Caenorhabditis elegans: one gene and its partners. The protein of the gene in region 1 interacts with the protein of each later gene in a pairwise test. Each region holds a gene or a part of one and is shown on either strand. Other genes may lie near its edges.

The links.
Region 2: the proteins of hpo-34 (region 1) and abu-14 interact in a two-hybrid assay, tested with the Caenorhabditis elegans proteins (2 studies listed by BioGRID).
Region 3: the proteins of hpo-34 (region 1) and lec-3 interact in a two-hybrid assay, tested with the Caenorhabditis elegans proteins (2 studies listed by BioGRID).

Annotation. Positions count from the first base shown.
Region 1 is NC_003284.9:11,516,033-11,520,718, reverse strand, and holds the start of hpo-34 (ZM domain-containing protein), read left to right. Parts: upstream 1-1,652; 5' UTR 1,653-1,701; coding exon 1,702-1,729; intron 1,730-1,773; coding exon 1,774-1,874; intron 1,875-1,931; coding exon 1,932-1,985; intron 1,986-2,197; coding exon 2,198-2,278; intron 2,279-2,329; coding exon 2,330-2,395; intron 2,396-2,438; coding exon 2,439-2,539; intron 2,540-2,596; coding exon 2,597-2,714; intron 2,715-2,760; coding exon 2,761-2,865; intron 2,866-2,912; coding exon 2,913-3,014; intron 3,015-3,060; coding exon 3,061-3,168; intron 3,169-3,214; coding exon 3,215-4,686.
Region 2 is NC_003280.10:9,224,686-9,229,214, reverse strand, and holds abu-14 (Activated in Blocked Unfolded protein response), read left to right. Parts: upstream 1-2,000; 5' UTR 2,001-2,057; coding exon 2,058-2,147; intron 2,148-2,727; coding exon 2,728-3,525; intron 3,526-3,569; coding exon 3,570-3,803; 3' UTR 3,804-4,029; downstream 4,030-4,529. Other genes in the region: ZK1067.3 (uncharacterized protein), read right to left, coding at 4,126-4,176.
Region 3 is NC_003280.10:9,989,233-9,994,159, forward strand, and holds the start of lec-3 (Galectin), read left to right. Parts: upstream 1-1,927; coding exon 1,928-2,007; intron 2,008-2,130; exon of another isoform or gene 2,131-2,136; coding exon 2,137-2,197; intron 2,198-3,024; exon of another isoform or gene 3,025-3,105; intron 3,106-3,222; exon of another isoform or gene 3,223-3,343; intron 3,344-4,387; exon of another isoform or gene 4,388-4,701; coding exon of another isoform or gene 4,702-4,734; intron 4,735-4,910; exon of another isoform or gene 4,911-4,927. UniProt on the Caenorhabditis elegans protein: Binds galactose.

The DNA.
Region 1 (4,686 bases):
ACATTATTTTTTCAAGAGAGACGGAGAAAGATAAATTTCCATGGCAACATTGTCAGCGCACGAAGATTATACAACCAAGCATAGAGATTGACGAAAGATTTGTTTCCTCTATTTTTATTCACAGTTGAACAAAAATTGTGCATGTTGCTGTAGAAATGGACAGATTATGGAACTATTAGATGAAACGCAGACTGTAGAAAAATAAAAATGGCCCGAAAATAAAAATCAGTAAATATGTTTAACTGTATCTGAAACAAAAAATAAATGATATGTTGAAAAATTTGCCATTAATGTTTTATTAAACCAATTTCAGCCGTATTCTATTATGGCACGAAAAACTAATTTCCCGAGTGTTCACAGGATTGCAAGGAAAAGTTCGATGCCGACCAACAAAACATTAATTTTCGTTATAACTCAAATTCGGTAGGATATTCGAAGATTTGAACATTATTTTTCAAACATATCCATTATATCCAATTCTCGAATTTTTTGGGTATGGCATCACAAAGTCATAGTCCGTTTCTGCGTTTTTCACTGTTTGGAATTGTAACTTTAAAAATGTATCATTTTGTGTCTGATTATTTTTTGCAACTCTTAAAAATTCTTACTTACTAGTTTTGCAATGTAATAATGTGTTATACAAATTACAAATGATATCTAAATAATTATATAATTTTAAATGTATAGAAAACTTTTACTTGTCTCAACATGACAATTTTGTTAGTCAAGCTTCAGTTTCCAGTCAAATAAAACATATCACACTAACAGAAACATTTTGGATAAGTTTTTGATTTAAAATTAAATTTTTATCTTTAATTTGTCATTGTCGTTTTCTCGGGAAATATAGTGTTTATCAAAATTAGAATGTGCGTTTAACTAAAATGTAGGATTTCATCATATTTGTAATTGAGCATTTAATAAGATGTTTTCTTGTGTCTTGAAATAAATTCAGATGTATGAAAAAAACTGTATTCGTTCAGATGACTTAACGTCCTTTCAGAGCAAATATTTTCGGGTACTGGCAGACTGTAAACATTAAAAACATCGACATTCTTTTTCTCTTTGTCACTTTAGCAAATATCATCTGCTATAATTTCCACTGCAAGTGCAATGCTTGTTACCTCCCAACTGGAACACTGACAGGTTAAAAAACTATAAAACGCTTGCTTCAAACAGCATGGAATTCAGTTGGAATATAGACCCATTTCTCTCCCATAATTTTAGTTTAATTTTGAACTTATGTTTCCTTTTCTGACATTAAAATATGTTCTCATGTTCTAAGCGTGTCTAAATGGAAGTCCCCCAATAAGTCACAAAAAATTATTATGCTATCATGTAATGTGTCCGGCAAAGAATCATTTATAAATTTCTCTGCGTTTATCAAAATTAAACGTGCTCCAAAAAGTGTGCTGCGTGTCACATACTATCATACCGGTCGTTTCGAAATTGTTCTCTACCCTCACTTTCCCCTTGTCGTCGTGGTTTATCATCTTACATCAAATGGCAGTTATCATCGGCGCCGTGTTTGCCGTTTGTAGCAGAGTTAAGAGCCCGACTGCTTTTTGAAACCAATCTTCGCGTTTTACTTTTTTTCGCAACAATAATAATAATAATAATGATCTAACAACCTTTTCAAATTTAATTCTCAGCTATTTTAGGTTACCTATTGTTCGTGGATTGGAAAAAAGAACCGAAGAAAAAATGATGGAGACTAGGAATGCCAGTGATAGTAAGTATGACATTAACACATTTCCCAATTCCAGTTTTAAAAAGGTTTGATGGACCAAGTCTTTTCTGCTGTCACGCTTCCTGCTGTTGGACAAACAACTACCATCATGGAGCATCATCAAGAATCTCACACTGTTTTTCACCAAGTAAGAAAATTTTTGAACAGTTATTTTGTTGATATTAGTTATTTTATTGAATTTCAGGAGAGTCATCATGTTGAATCTCACCACGAGCATATGGAATTCTCCTCTTCTGGGGTAAGCAAATTTTTATTTACATTGTAAAGATTACTTTAACTTCAATTATAATCTGATTTTTTTTACTTCTGATTTGATAACTTATCAATTTTTTGCTCATCAAAACTGAAAATCAGTTGGTGCTCTTTGATTTCCGTGTTCGAAAAAGAATGACAGTATCGATTGATTTAAGAACAATTTTGTTGGAAAATGAACAAAAAATATTTTTTCAGGTTATCGTAGGAAACGTTGTTGGTCATGATGCCGTTATTCAACGTCGTCCAACTGTGGATACTGAAGATCAGCGGTCGGAGGTATATATTAAAATTAATCTTTCATTATTTTGAAAAAGAGCATTTATTTAGGTGTCCGCAATGTCAAAAGCCACATCAGTTTCTGTTCATTCTAGCGTTTCTCAAAAATCCGCTCAGGTATTTCAGTTCGAACAATGAAAACTATAAACGCCTTTTTCAGCACTACGATCTTCCACCTATCCCACAGTACGACATGCCTCCGATTGTTGTTGGGGAAGCTGTTGTTGGAAAGGCACCATCAGTTGCTTCTTCCAGATCAGGGTATATCTTAAGCTCACTCTACTGAAGAAATAATAAATAATTTTCACACACCTACAGGTCCCACCATTCCGTCGCTTCGCATCATTCGCATCACTCCCAACATTCCCATCATTCCGCTTTGACTCATGACAGCGAGTCGACTATTTCCGAGGGAACTCTTGTGAATGAGCCGATCGTCAGTTTTACAAAGATTAAAAAACAATTTATTCATGATTTTTCAGGTGGTCGGAGCACATGTTGCATCTGAAGCTCCAACCCCACTTGCTGTCGGACAATCATTCGAGCATGACGCAGTGATTGAGCAATTTAAAAATCTTCATGGAAGAGTAAATAAACATTTTCAAACTTAAAACACCTATAATTTCTTTTTCAGGATCAATCAGTGGTTTCCAGCATTGTTCCTGCCTCAGTTCACATTCAAAGTGACAGCGAGGACTCTATTGCTCCATCAAAGTTGACTCACTCGATTGCTGTTGTACGTTTTTAAATGACATATCAGTTAAACTGTGAATTGCTTTCAGGGAGGAGTTGTCGATTCTCACAATGGTGTCAATGTTTTGCACAGAAGTCACGAAGTTGAATTTGTGGACTTTGCTGCTCCAGCTTACTACCAACCACCATCAGTTGTCGTAAGTGTCAAGAGTTTGTGTTTTTTATTAATACAGCTTTGTTCAGGGCGCTTTTGATGCTCATAGCGAGGATTCGTTTGGTTTTGAGAAGGTGGAATATGTGGACACTCATGAGGACCATCACCACAAGTTGGAGGAACAAGTTCCGCAAGTTGTTCATGAACATGTTATTGAACAGCATTACGAGCCTTATCAAATCGTCCATGAGAACCATAATGTGTTATCGGTCGATTTCGGAGAGGATCAACACTCCATAACCCATCATGATCATGACCACCACCACCACCACCATGAATCCCATGTTACCCATACCTTCACCTCCAATGTGAAACAGTCCCGTTCTAACACTGCCTCCACTTACCAAAGTCGCCAAATGTTAGCACATAATGTTGGGCCTAAAATTACTGAGGAGTTGCGTCCGGCTGCGGTGCTGGAGGAGGAAGAGGTTGAGGTTAGGCCCCCAGTGATGGCCTACGTGGCTCCAATCCCAGTTAAGCCACCACGTACCCACGAAGAGAGTCATATCTATAACGCGTACGAAACGGAGATTCATCAGCAAAAGGATATCGTCAAGTCTACTACTGTTGTTCTGGAAGATGTCCGCTCAGGATCTGAAGGTATTCATATCCGAGCGGATAATTCTTCATCTGTTGATATTATAGGTGTTAGCTCCCTTCGCAGAAAGTTTGAGCATGGTGCTCCACCACCATTGTCGCCTGTCTTTGAAATGAAGAAGCATGAGCACCACAAGCATCTTGATCAACACCATCACCACAAACACCAAGACGTCGTCGTTGAGCAAACGCAATTCCAGGTCGGCGATAACTTCATCTCTTCTTCTTCTTCTAAAGCAATAGAGAATCATTATGACGTTCCTTTCGATTCTTATGAGATAGTTGATAAATCTGAAAACACTAAAAAATCCTCATCCTCTTACCACGCCTCCTCCTCCTACCACAAGCAAGCACCACCGCTGCCACTAGTCGATTACCATGTATATGACACGCCAACTGTTGAACATTTCTCCCATTCGCCAGCTTTCTATACTGACGATCAGCGCCACCATTATGTTCCCCAAATCAAGGTGATAACAGAGTATCGACACATCAACCCTCGTCATCATTACGTGGAAAGACAAATTAGAAAAGCTGATGGAAGTGCGATTGCACAAAGTCCGCAAGTTCAAACGATTGACTATTTTAAAGAAATCAACAGGGCTCACCATTTTGTCCCATCTACGCCACCATCGCTGTTTAACAACAAGCGAGAAAGTTTCCACCATCACAGCTTTATTCCAAACAGTTTGGAAGCTGAAAGAAAGAGTCGTAGTGTTGAAAGAGCGCACCATTATCTCCCAGATTCACCAGCGAATGTGAAAGATCAGAGAAAAATAATCAGGGAACATCATTATGTTCCTCTTGAGAAACGCTCTCAATCGTTGGATTTAAAAGTAGTTCATCCTGAACATCACTATGTTCCACTTGTCAGAAAAACAACGGAGGATCATCAACAAAAAGT
Region 2 (4,529 bases), on another chromosome or scaffold:
AAACGACTCATGTTGACTTACCTTGATTCATTGAACTTATGTTCAGAGACTTACCGACAAATGACGGGATGAATCATTTGAGAATTTCTGTAAAGGTGCAACTAGAAGAGAAGTTGTACATTGTTTTTATTCGAAATTAGGCAGAAATTAACCGGCAAATACCGAGGTATATTGCAGGGAGCTATAGTACACATAATAATATCAAATTGACATGATTTATGAGTAGGGAAGTTGATATCATAATTGGTTCAAGTATATCTACTACTACTGACAACTTCGACGAGCCCTGAAACATAAACAGGAAAAATTGGTACTAGATTGTGTAACATACAATTGATGCGTACCTCTTCGAAAATATTTTACCGTAGTCTGAATTTGTACGTGATAAGCTCTCGTCAAAAACAAGAAACTACATACATTGCTGCTCACAACGAAATGCGTTCAATTGAAATTTCTATTTGCCAACCGGGAGCCTCCAGACGGTTAAAACTGTCAAATGATGTGATTCCGTATGACTCATCAATGTCTGACCCAGAAATCCGGTCCTCTCGGAGTTTCTAGTTGTTTTCCACGTGTTCCACGTCACAATTGAATTCACATGGCAACCAGCTGCATTGCATTGGTAAAGTGACCATTAAATTCAATACGAAAAGTAAGCAAATACTTCAATTGTGTGAGTTTTAGTTGACCAACTTTTCATCAGGTTCATGAAGAATGTGAATGAAAAATGTTTTTATTCACTGTGAAGTAGGGGAGATCAAGAGATAAAGAACAGGCTAGATTTGGAGATACGAAAAGCGACAAACATGTGTTTTTATGTAAGCAGTCTTCTCCGAGCATCTTTTTATAGATGTTCGAAATACTTGAAGCGAAAAATTGCGCAACTTGAACTAAACAAGATAATCAGTGCGGTTGCTGCTATTTATGGATGATGATTGCTCGCGAGAGGGGGTCAGCAGGGACGACATTCCTACAAAGGGCATAAGGAGAATGAAAAAGTATGCGGGTAGAAGAAGAGAGCAAATGAGCATTGAGAGCATACTGTATTTAGTGATAAGCAGAGATTTTTGATATCTAAGCTAAGAGTGTCCGGAACATTTGGAAACTAGAAGCATTGGTCATGGAATTTTATTTAGAAAAATTGAAAAAGGAAGTCACACACATAATAAATTATGTGCATCTAAAACGTTAAAAAATCCAAGTATTGTACCGATTTTAATATTTCCAGGTACTGAAAGATTTTGAAAAATAAACAATTTTAGCAGCGTTTTTTGAATTGTCTTTGCTTTACATTGAAAGCTTATATCTCGGTTCTCTTTGGTTTTATCAAAAAATTGTCAACAAACCAAATGCGTGTAAAATGTTTATCTATATATCAATAGTAGAACATTTTTTGATATAACTCATGACAGTCGAGATATGAGTCGTCAAATTAGAGCAGTCGTGGTAAAAACTTTTAAAATCACAAATCAAGAAAGATAATTAAATTATTTTTCGCTGTGTGACCATTTTTATTTCAGCATGCGCTTCAAAAAACTACCAAGTTGCGTTATCATATTCTTTGGTTTACTCCGAAAATTTACTGGTAGCTATATAATTTACCAAAGCTGAACAAATAATCCACTCATTTGGTGAATAGTTCTAAAGTATACAAGCTTCAAGTCATACAGGTTATTTCAAAACTACAGTACCCTTCAAGGCTTTGAGGACCTCCGGTTTCCGAGTATGAATTATGAAATGTTTTTCGTCTAGTCCTCATTGTCTCAATCACTATCTCCAGGCAAAAAGATGAGATCTCTTGAGGGTACTGGACTCTCCCTCAATCCTCCGATTCAAGGAGTTGTTTCGAACGCTTAAGCACTCCTGGCTCCGCGCGGGGCGGAGTCGAAGTGTGCCGCGACCGACCGACCGCCGGCGCCTTCCTCCCCATTACCCCCACCCATCTCCCGCCGCTATATAAAAGGTACGCAGTGCCATCTGGACAGAATACAGAGCCTTCGAGTTCTAGTCCTTCTCCTTCTTTTACCCAACTCATTATTCCCCACATTTTTGTTTCAATGGCAGCCCGCAGAGCAGCTTCGATTCTTCTTATCGCCGTTCTGGCCCTCTCCAGTACCTTCGTCTTCGCTGACGAAGAGACTGTCAAGGTAAATTTCTTTTTTAAATACTACTTTTGTACTTTTGAACATTTATTTAAGCATTCAGTCATACTTTCCCTCTTTTATGCTCACTATTATTTTCGTGTTTTCTGTGTACCTAACCATTAGGACACGGCGCGGATGTGGGTATTGAATGCACAATGTGCATGAATAGGAATAATGAATAGGCTTTAGGAACAAGCTGGTTATGATCATGATCTTATTGATCATGCCCAATTGAAGCATAGCGTCTAGTACATCAGGATCCAAATTTCAGCAATCATTTGTTTAAATAACTTTTCAATTTTAACTATGATGCTTCCTTATGACTGTCTAGACTCTTATTTCATTTATTCCCGTCATTGGCCATTCCTTGAGACCTCACTAATACAAAGTGAAGTGGTCATTTCAAGGGGTCAGCTGGCTTCTTCTCCTGCTCTTTCCCCTCCGATAAAAACAGGAAAAATGATAGTGTAAACAAAGGGCGCATGAAGATTCTCTCCGCGATTGCCCCCCAGAGTGTGCGCGCAAAAATCTAAGCACACTGTCTTTCCTTACGGTCAAACAAAAGAGCCCTAAATAACTGCAGAACGAGACCGGATTGGCGTTGTCGCGTGCCAAGAGACAGTGCTGTTCATCCAACTCCAACTCATGCTGCGGAAACAACAACAACGTGCAATGCATCCCAGTTTGTCTGCAACAGTGCCAGAGCTCATGCCAAACATCCCAATGCATCCAACAATGTCAGCCAGCTTGTAACCAACAGTGCGGAGGAAACAACCAAGTCATCCTTCTTCCACAAACCAACAACTGCAACCAATGCCAACAACAATGCATCAGCTCCTGTGCCACCCCAATCTGTGCTCAATCCTGCAACAACCAATGCTCCAGCTCTTGCGGAAACTCTGCTCCACAAATTGTCGTTCTCCAACCACAACAGAACCAATGTGGATCATGCCAGTCTTCCTGCCAACAGACTTGCCCAACATGCAACTGCCAATCTGCTTGTGCTCCAGCCTGTGGAGGAAACAACAACAATCAGCAAATCATCGTTGTTCAACAGGACAACTCATGCTCATCCAACTGTAACAACCAGTGCTCCAGCTCCTGCAGCACCCCAATCTGCATTCAGTCCTGCCAATCCTCCTGCCAACAGGCCTGCCAGCCAACCTGCCAGCCACAATGCATGCCATCCTGCTCGTCTAGCTGCACATCCAACCAGGCTCCAATCGTCATCGTCGCTCAACAAGGAGACTCATGCTCCAACTCGTGCTCCAACCAGTGCCAGTCTGCCTGCCCAACTCCAATCTGTGTCCAACAGTGCAACTCTCAATGTCAATCCCAGTGCTCGAACTCTTGCTCCGGAAACAGCTGCAACCAACAACAGGTAATAATATTGATTTTCCATTAATTCATGAATCAATATTACAGGTCATTGTCCTCCAACAACAAGACAACTGCCAGAATCAATGTCAATCTTCCTGCATGAACACTTGCCAATCATCGGCTACCGTTCTTCAATGCCAGCCAATTTGCCAACAAACCTGCCAGAATACCTGTCAACAAGCCGCTCAAATCGTTGTTCCATGCCAATCGAGCTCTTCTGGATGTGGATGCTCATCTGGATATTCTCAATGCGGTGGATCATGCTGCCGTCGTCGTTAAGCATCCCCTTCCCTGAATTCTATGAACGAATTCTTACCGTATCCGCGTTTTCTATGCGACAACTTCTGTTTTCGTTTCCCCATCCCACTTCTCACATAACTTTTATTATGACATTGTCTGTAAATAAGTGGTAGCCATGTGAGGTGTCTAATTATTTTATTATTGTTCCCTTCTTTTTCATGATGTTTCATTGTCCTTGAGTTTCGACAATAAATTATTCTAATTTAAGAATTATACAAGAAATGTTTTCATTCGGCAAAACATAAAATAAAAAATCACATATATTCACAGTAATCAATCATCATATAATAAATTGTATTGTTTAGTCCTGTTTGAATAGTCCTCGAGCTGAGCGACGAAGGGTTGAGCGACGCTGAAAAAAAAATTTAAAAAGAAGAAAAACAAATGTATCCAAATTAACAGTTTTTCTAAATTTATTATTGATTTTATTCCGAATTTTGCAAATATAAACGAAGTTACTGAAACAAATTCGAATTTTCGACAGAAGTTTCAAAATTTTCGCGTTTTTTATTCATTGGTTTCTCTTGATTTTTTCCTTGATCTTTTTTAATTGTCACCCAAAAAAAAGTCGTCGAAATTTCAAAATTAGCCTAGAAATGAGTAATGTAGCATTAGTTTCAACTCTTTTTTTTCGGAAAACTTTCTGAAAAAATGACAAAGTATCGAATCAAACACTAAAGAATTTTTCAATTAATGAATGAAAAT
Region 3 (4,927 bases), on another chromosome or scaffold:
AAAATTTTTAAAATTTTGAAAGATCTTCAAGTTTAAGAATAAAATATCAAATATAAATCGATGACCGAGTTTTTTTCGAGGCCAAATAGCAAAAGTCGATCCCTGATTGTTGTTTATTTTAAAATTCGGAAAAAAAAATCTACTAAATTTCAAAATATTGGAATAGAAAATAATAAATAAGTTGTAGTGAGTCATTGTCTCAAAATGCTTATACTTGGTTTTTATGTATTTTTCTTTCTTTTTCTGTTAATCACATTCAATTATTTTTCTTTTCTATTGTTCATTTTCAACCTTCCCGCTGAAATTCTACTATCACACTCTAGTTTTTAAAATTCAGAAACATCGAAAAATGTGAAAAACGTAAGAGTTTTTTCCTTTAGAAATTAAAACCTAAAAGAAAAAAAAAAACGACAACTGCAACATATCGGATATCTTTTCTCACTCACTATCCAAGACCTCAATTGAGTCATATGTTCTTCGTTAACGTTTTTTTTTTTGAAATTTTTGAGTGATGGAAAAGAAAAGCATGAAAAAGAGGCAAATGAGTGATCGGAGAGCAAGGATAGAAGAGTAGGAGGAAGAGGTGGAGTAGTAGCTAGGAAAGAAATTGCAAAAAAAGTGAGAAGATACATTATGTTGTATATATATTTTTTGTCTTTCTCTTTTCTTCTCACCAACTATATGTATACAGTTGGTATAAATAGTGACTGAAATGTGCAGTTTTTACAGTTCTCTTGCAAATTTGCATCTGGATTTTTCTGAAAAAATTGTTTGTGTAAAAAAAGCTGTACATTGTATTTTTTGCGGCAATCTGGATGATTGCGTTTTTGTTTAAAGTAAAAACTTTTTGAAATTTTTTCACTTCTTTTAAACTGTAAACCATGGTTCCAGCAAGCACTTCTACTAGCGTGAGCATACTAACTCTGCCTAAAAAAAACGTAGGTTTTCCAAATCACTTTCGAAATCCAAATTAATTTCAAAATCTAATGACATATAATTATTTGTCCAACTCTCTCCTTATCCCTCCTGCGTATCTCATTTTCCACACCCAATAATTTTTGTCTCTGAGTTCAAAAAAATGAAACGTGCGGGAAGTAAATAAAAAAGATCAGCAGCAGTGGGAAAAACCCCTCGCCACCTGTTAACCTCACAATTTATCAGTTTTGATTGATTTTTATTTCTTGTGTTGTTTCTGATATTTCGACTCTTGTCGGTGTTAACTTGAATTTAGTTGGAATTATGTGAGTTTTGGTTGTTCAATTTTATATATTTTTGTTTTTTTTTGTAGTTTGTTTCACTTGATTAATTTAGAAGCTCAATCTTTATGCCCACTTTGTCAAATTTTCCCAATAAGGATTTCTCGTAAAACTCCAAGTCATACAGATTCTCAGAAGTAATAGTCTTGATAACACTTTATCCCTGTTTTAAAACCTTAAAACTAATCGAAAATAGTTCGAGCTACGGTTCAGCCGCTTTCTGACAAATTGACAACTTCCAAAATCATTTTTTGCATGAAAAATTCAGATTCCAACAACTGGTATAATTTTATAACATTTCTCGCAACCAACCAAATCAAATCATTTATAATTTTCCCTGCATCCAAAACGATCCACGGGAATTCATTCCCATAATTCCATGACTCACACTTTTATTTCCCGCCTATTCTTTTTCTACAATCTATCACATTCTTTCTTCCTTCCATTCTCTGTAACAATTCAATCAAATATATACTATTTTTCTTCACACAAAACCTCGGATTGTTTAATCTTCCTTTTAGTTCTCGAAACTCTTTCGAAAACGTTTATGATGTTCAAATATAGTTTTGATACCAGCGTAGCCATAACCTCTTCTTCAAAACCAACACAAATATTGTACATCTCACATAGGGGAGAACATCGCCAAATTTGAACTATTCTCTCCTATAAAAATGTTTCGACGAAGATCGAAAAGTCTAGCAGTTACAGAACCTACTACTAATGGTACTGTAAAGAAAAAGAGAGGTCATGGGTATGTTGGTACAAACGAAAATTTTTTAGAGCAAATAATTATGTAATTTTCCAACTTCTGTACAACTTCTCACTTTCCTTAACAGCTATGAAAAATATCATAAAATATTTCAATTCCCAATTTTTTCAGGACCACCGTTCGACTCCCCGTTTATCTTCGAGAGATCATCATGGCCGAGCCGAAATCCTTCGTAAGTTTTTTTTTTCGATCATGCAATCTTTCCGGTTTTTGTTTTTTTTGTGTGCATGTGATTCTGTTTTTTGTTTCATTTTTGAGTTTCAAAAATGACAGTTTCCTCCTAATTTGGAAATTCTAACACAAAAAACATTGCGTGTTGTTCTGTTCTACCCCATTACAGTCTTCTCGGAAATGCCACCCCCTTATTAACACAAATAGCCGACTTGGTGAACCATAAAATTGAGGTTTGAATCTTGAAGAAGCACGATGGAGCTTTTTATGTGCTCGAACAAGAGACAATTGTAATTTAGTGTGGGGGTGGTGGTAAAAAGGACATCAAAGATTGAATTTTCATAAGTGGAGAAAGCTTGGTCTGAAAATGTACGCTTGAAGCATTTCTGGAAATTATGTAAATAGAAAGAATGGGAGTAATAAGAAGAAATTTCAGCTAGCTTATGAATTGTAAAGAAGTTACAAAGAACACATTGTAAATTGAAAACATGTTTTTTTTTGTCTGATTGTGAAATTATAAAAATTTCAGTGATATTTTTAGGGAGATATATGAGCTTCAAAGTTTGTTTTGTGCTGGAATACTTATTTCGCTGTCAAAGTAGAACAAAAAGCTGCAAATAGAATATGAACTGTAATTGGAAAAAAAAACATGCTATGCGATGTTTACACCCTCCATACATTCTAATATTCTCCACTTTCAAACAAATCTTCACTTCATTTTAAACTTTTTTTTCTCAAAATATCCACTTCCCAGTTCAAGTTGCTATTTTTAGTTCGAGCCGAGCTCCCATAGGAGCTTATCCTCCTCTTGTTAGGTTATGTGACCCGGGGCTCATAGGAACCACGTCATAAATCTAAAAGCCTTTATGTGCACGAACCGTTAGCACAATCTTCCCCCTCTTTTGCAGAAAAAGTACAATTGAGTCGGTGGAAATTCAAATTAATTCAAATATTTTTGCTTCAACTTTTCTTTTTTTAACTGAAGCCAAAACTGACACAGATAGACATACACATCCGCCTCCCCTTATTTCCATAAACATTTTATGTCCTTTTGCTCTCTTACTCGCTTAGATTTCTCACTCCCCCTTTTGTTAGTTTACCCTTTGATTCATGCTCATTTTTCTTTTTCTCCAAAAATTTATTTGACGTAGACAAATTGTTTTATGCTCTGTGCTCCGGGAAACTTTAGGCTTTAATCCGGTGTGTGTGTGTGCAACTTGTTGCAACAAAGTCAAAATCAGATGCGAAACGGAAATTCCGGGTGTAATCCAATATCAGGCAGAGAAAAATTGAGCAGGAAAAGAAAAGACAAGGAGGATTTCCCCCTCTTCTTTTTGTTTATTTTCTCCTATTTCAAGATTAGTGTCAGTTTTTCATTGTGGGTGGCAGAATCTGCGCTCTATTGGCAACAAGAAAAAGTGAGAATTTGTTGGAATTGAATAATTTTATATTTATTAGCCCATGAGCATGAACTAGGTTTTTGCAGCGGGCATTTGGAAATCTGGAAACAGTTTTTGAACTATTATTAATAATCACAAACGAACCCCATGATTGTTAGCAACTGCCTATTACCAAGTTGCGAAACAATTTCATTTTTGGTCAAAAATTACGCCTCGACACGACTGAAAATTTTCTGAGCAATGGAATATGCGTCATTAAAAGTTTAATAGTTTCGGCTTCCTGTTCTTAATGCTATTTTCTCCTTAACTGCCAAATTTTAAGAGCAAAGTCGATAAAAATTGCGGAACGAACTCTTTAAATGCGCAAGTGAAAATTTTTCGATCGCGTCGAGACCATTTACCGTTATTTTGCCTCAAAAAATCGGATTGTTACACAACTGGATAATATAATTTATGAACAACTTACATAACTTTCTTCTATCTTGCTCTAACGCCATGAACATTTTGAACCTAGTTGGTAGCTGATTTAAACTTTTGAACTTTGCGCCACAAATAGTGACGTATAGCTGTATTCTGCCAAGATTCATGAAAGTTGACATGAGAACTTTACTCTCAACTCAACTTTCCAAAAAACGTTTTTTTCAACAAAAAGTCACATCACACTTTATGTGTATTTTTCTTTCGTTTTCCAACTTCAATCCAGCTGGCAAGTGGCCAAGTGTCAAAACAATAGTAGCCTCTTCCCCTTGAGAAATAGGCCACGCCCACATTTTGGTGGCTCCCTTCCCTTCGTTGAGCCACCGCCCGCCCCAGCATCTACTCTTGAAGCCTAGTTGCTGCTTCACTTTGTCACCCCCACTTGTTCTATCTTCTACCCGAAGCTCCCTTCGTCTAATCCGCCAAACTGTTGTCGATCAAGAATCTTAATTTGGGACTTGGTGACCATGGTCAACTGAGTCCCAAAACGTGGCTTCAGCAATATCAGAAAAAGAACCAAAAAGAGCAGCCGCCGTGTCTGCCGAGTTGCTCGACATCCAGCTCTTGCTCGACGAGCACCTCATCGTGCTACCCACTGGGAACTTGCTACGAAACGATTGGAGATGATATGCCGTCGGTTTGGCACTGTGCCAAATATATCGTAGGACTTTTATTGGGGGTTCTGGGTGCAGATTTTCATCGTCTTCTTGTAGGACCGTGAAAATCTGAAATTCTGTGCAGTGCTTTTTCTTGCAGTGAACTTTAGTTCTAGTTTGTCCAGTTTTGTGTCAGTTCAGTCAGTTTCAGTTTCTCTTTTTTTCAGTTTTTCAGTTTAAATTTCAACCAGTGATGTC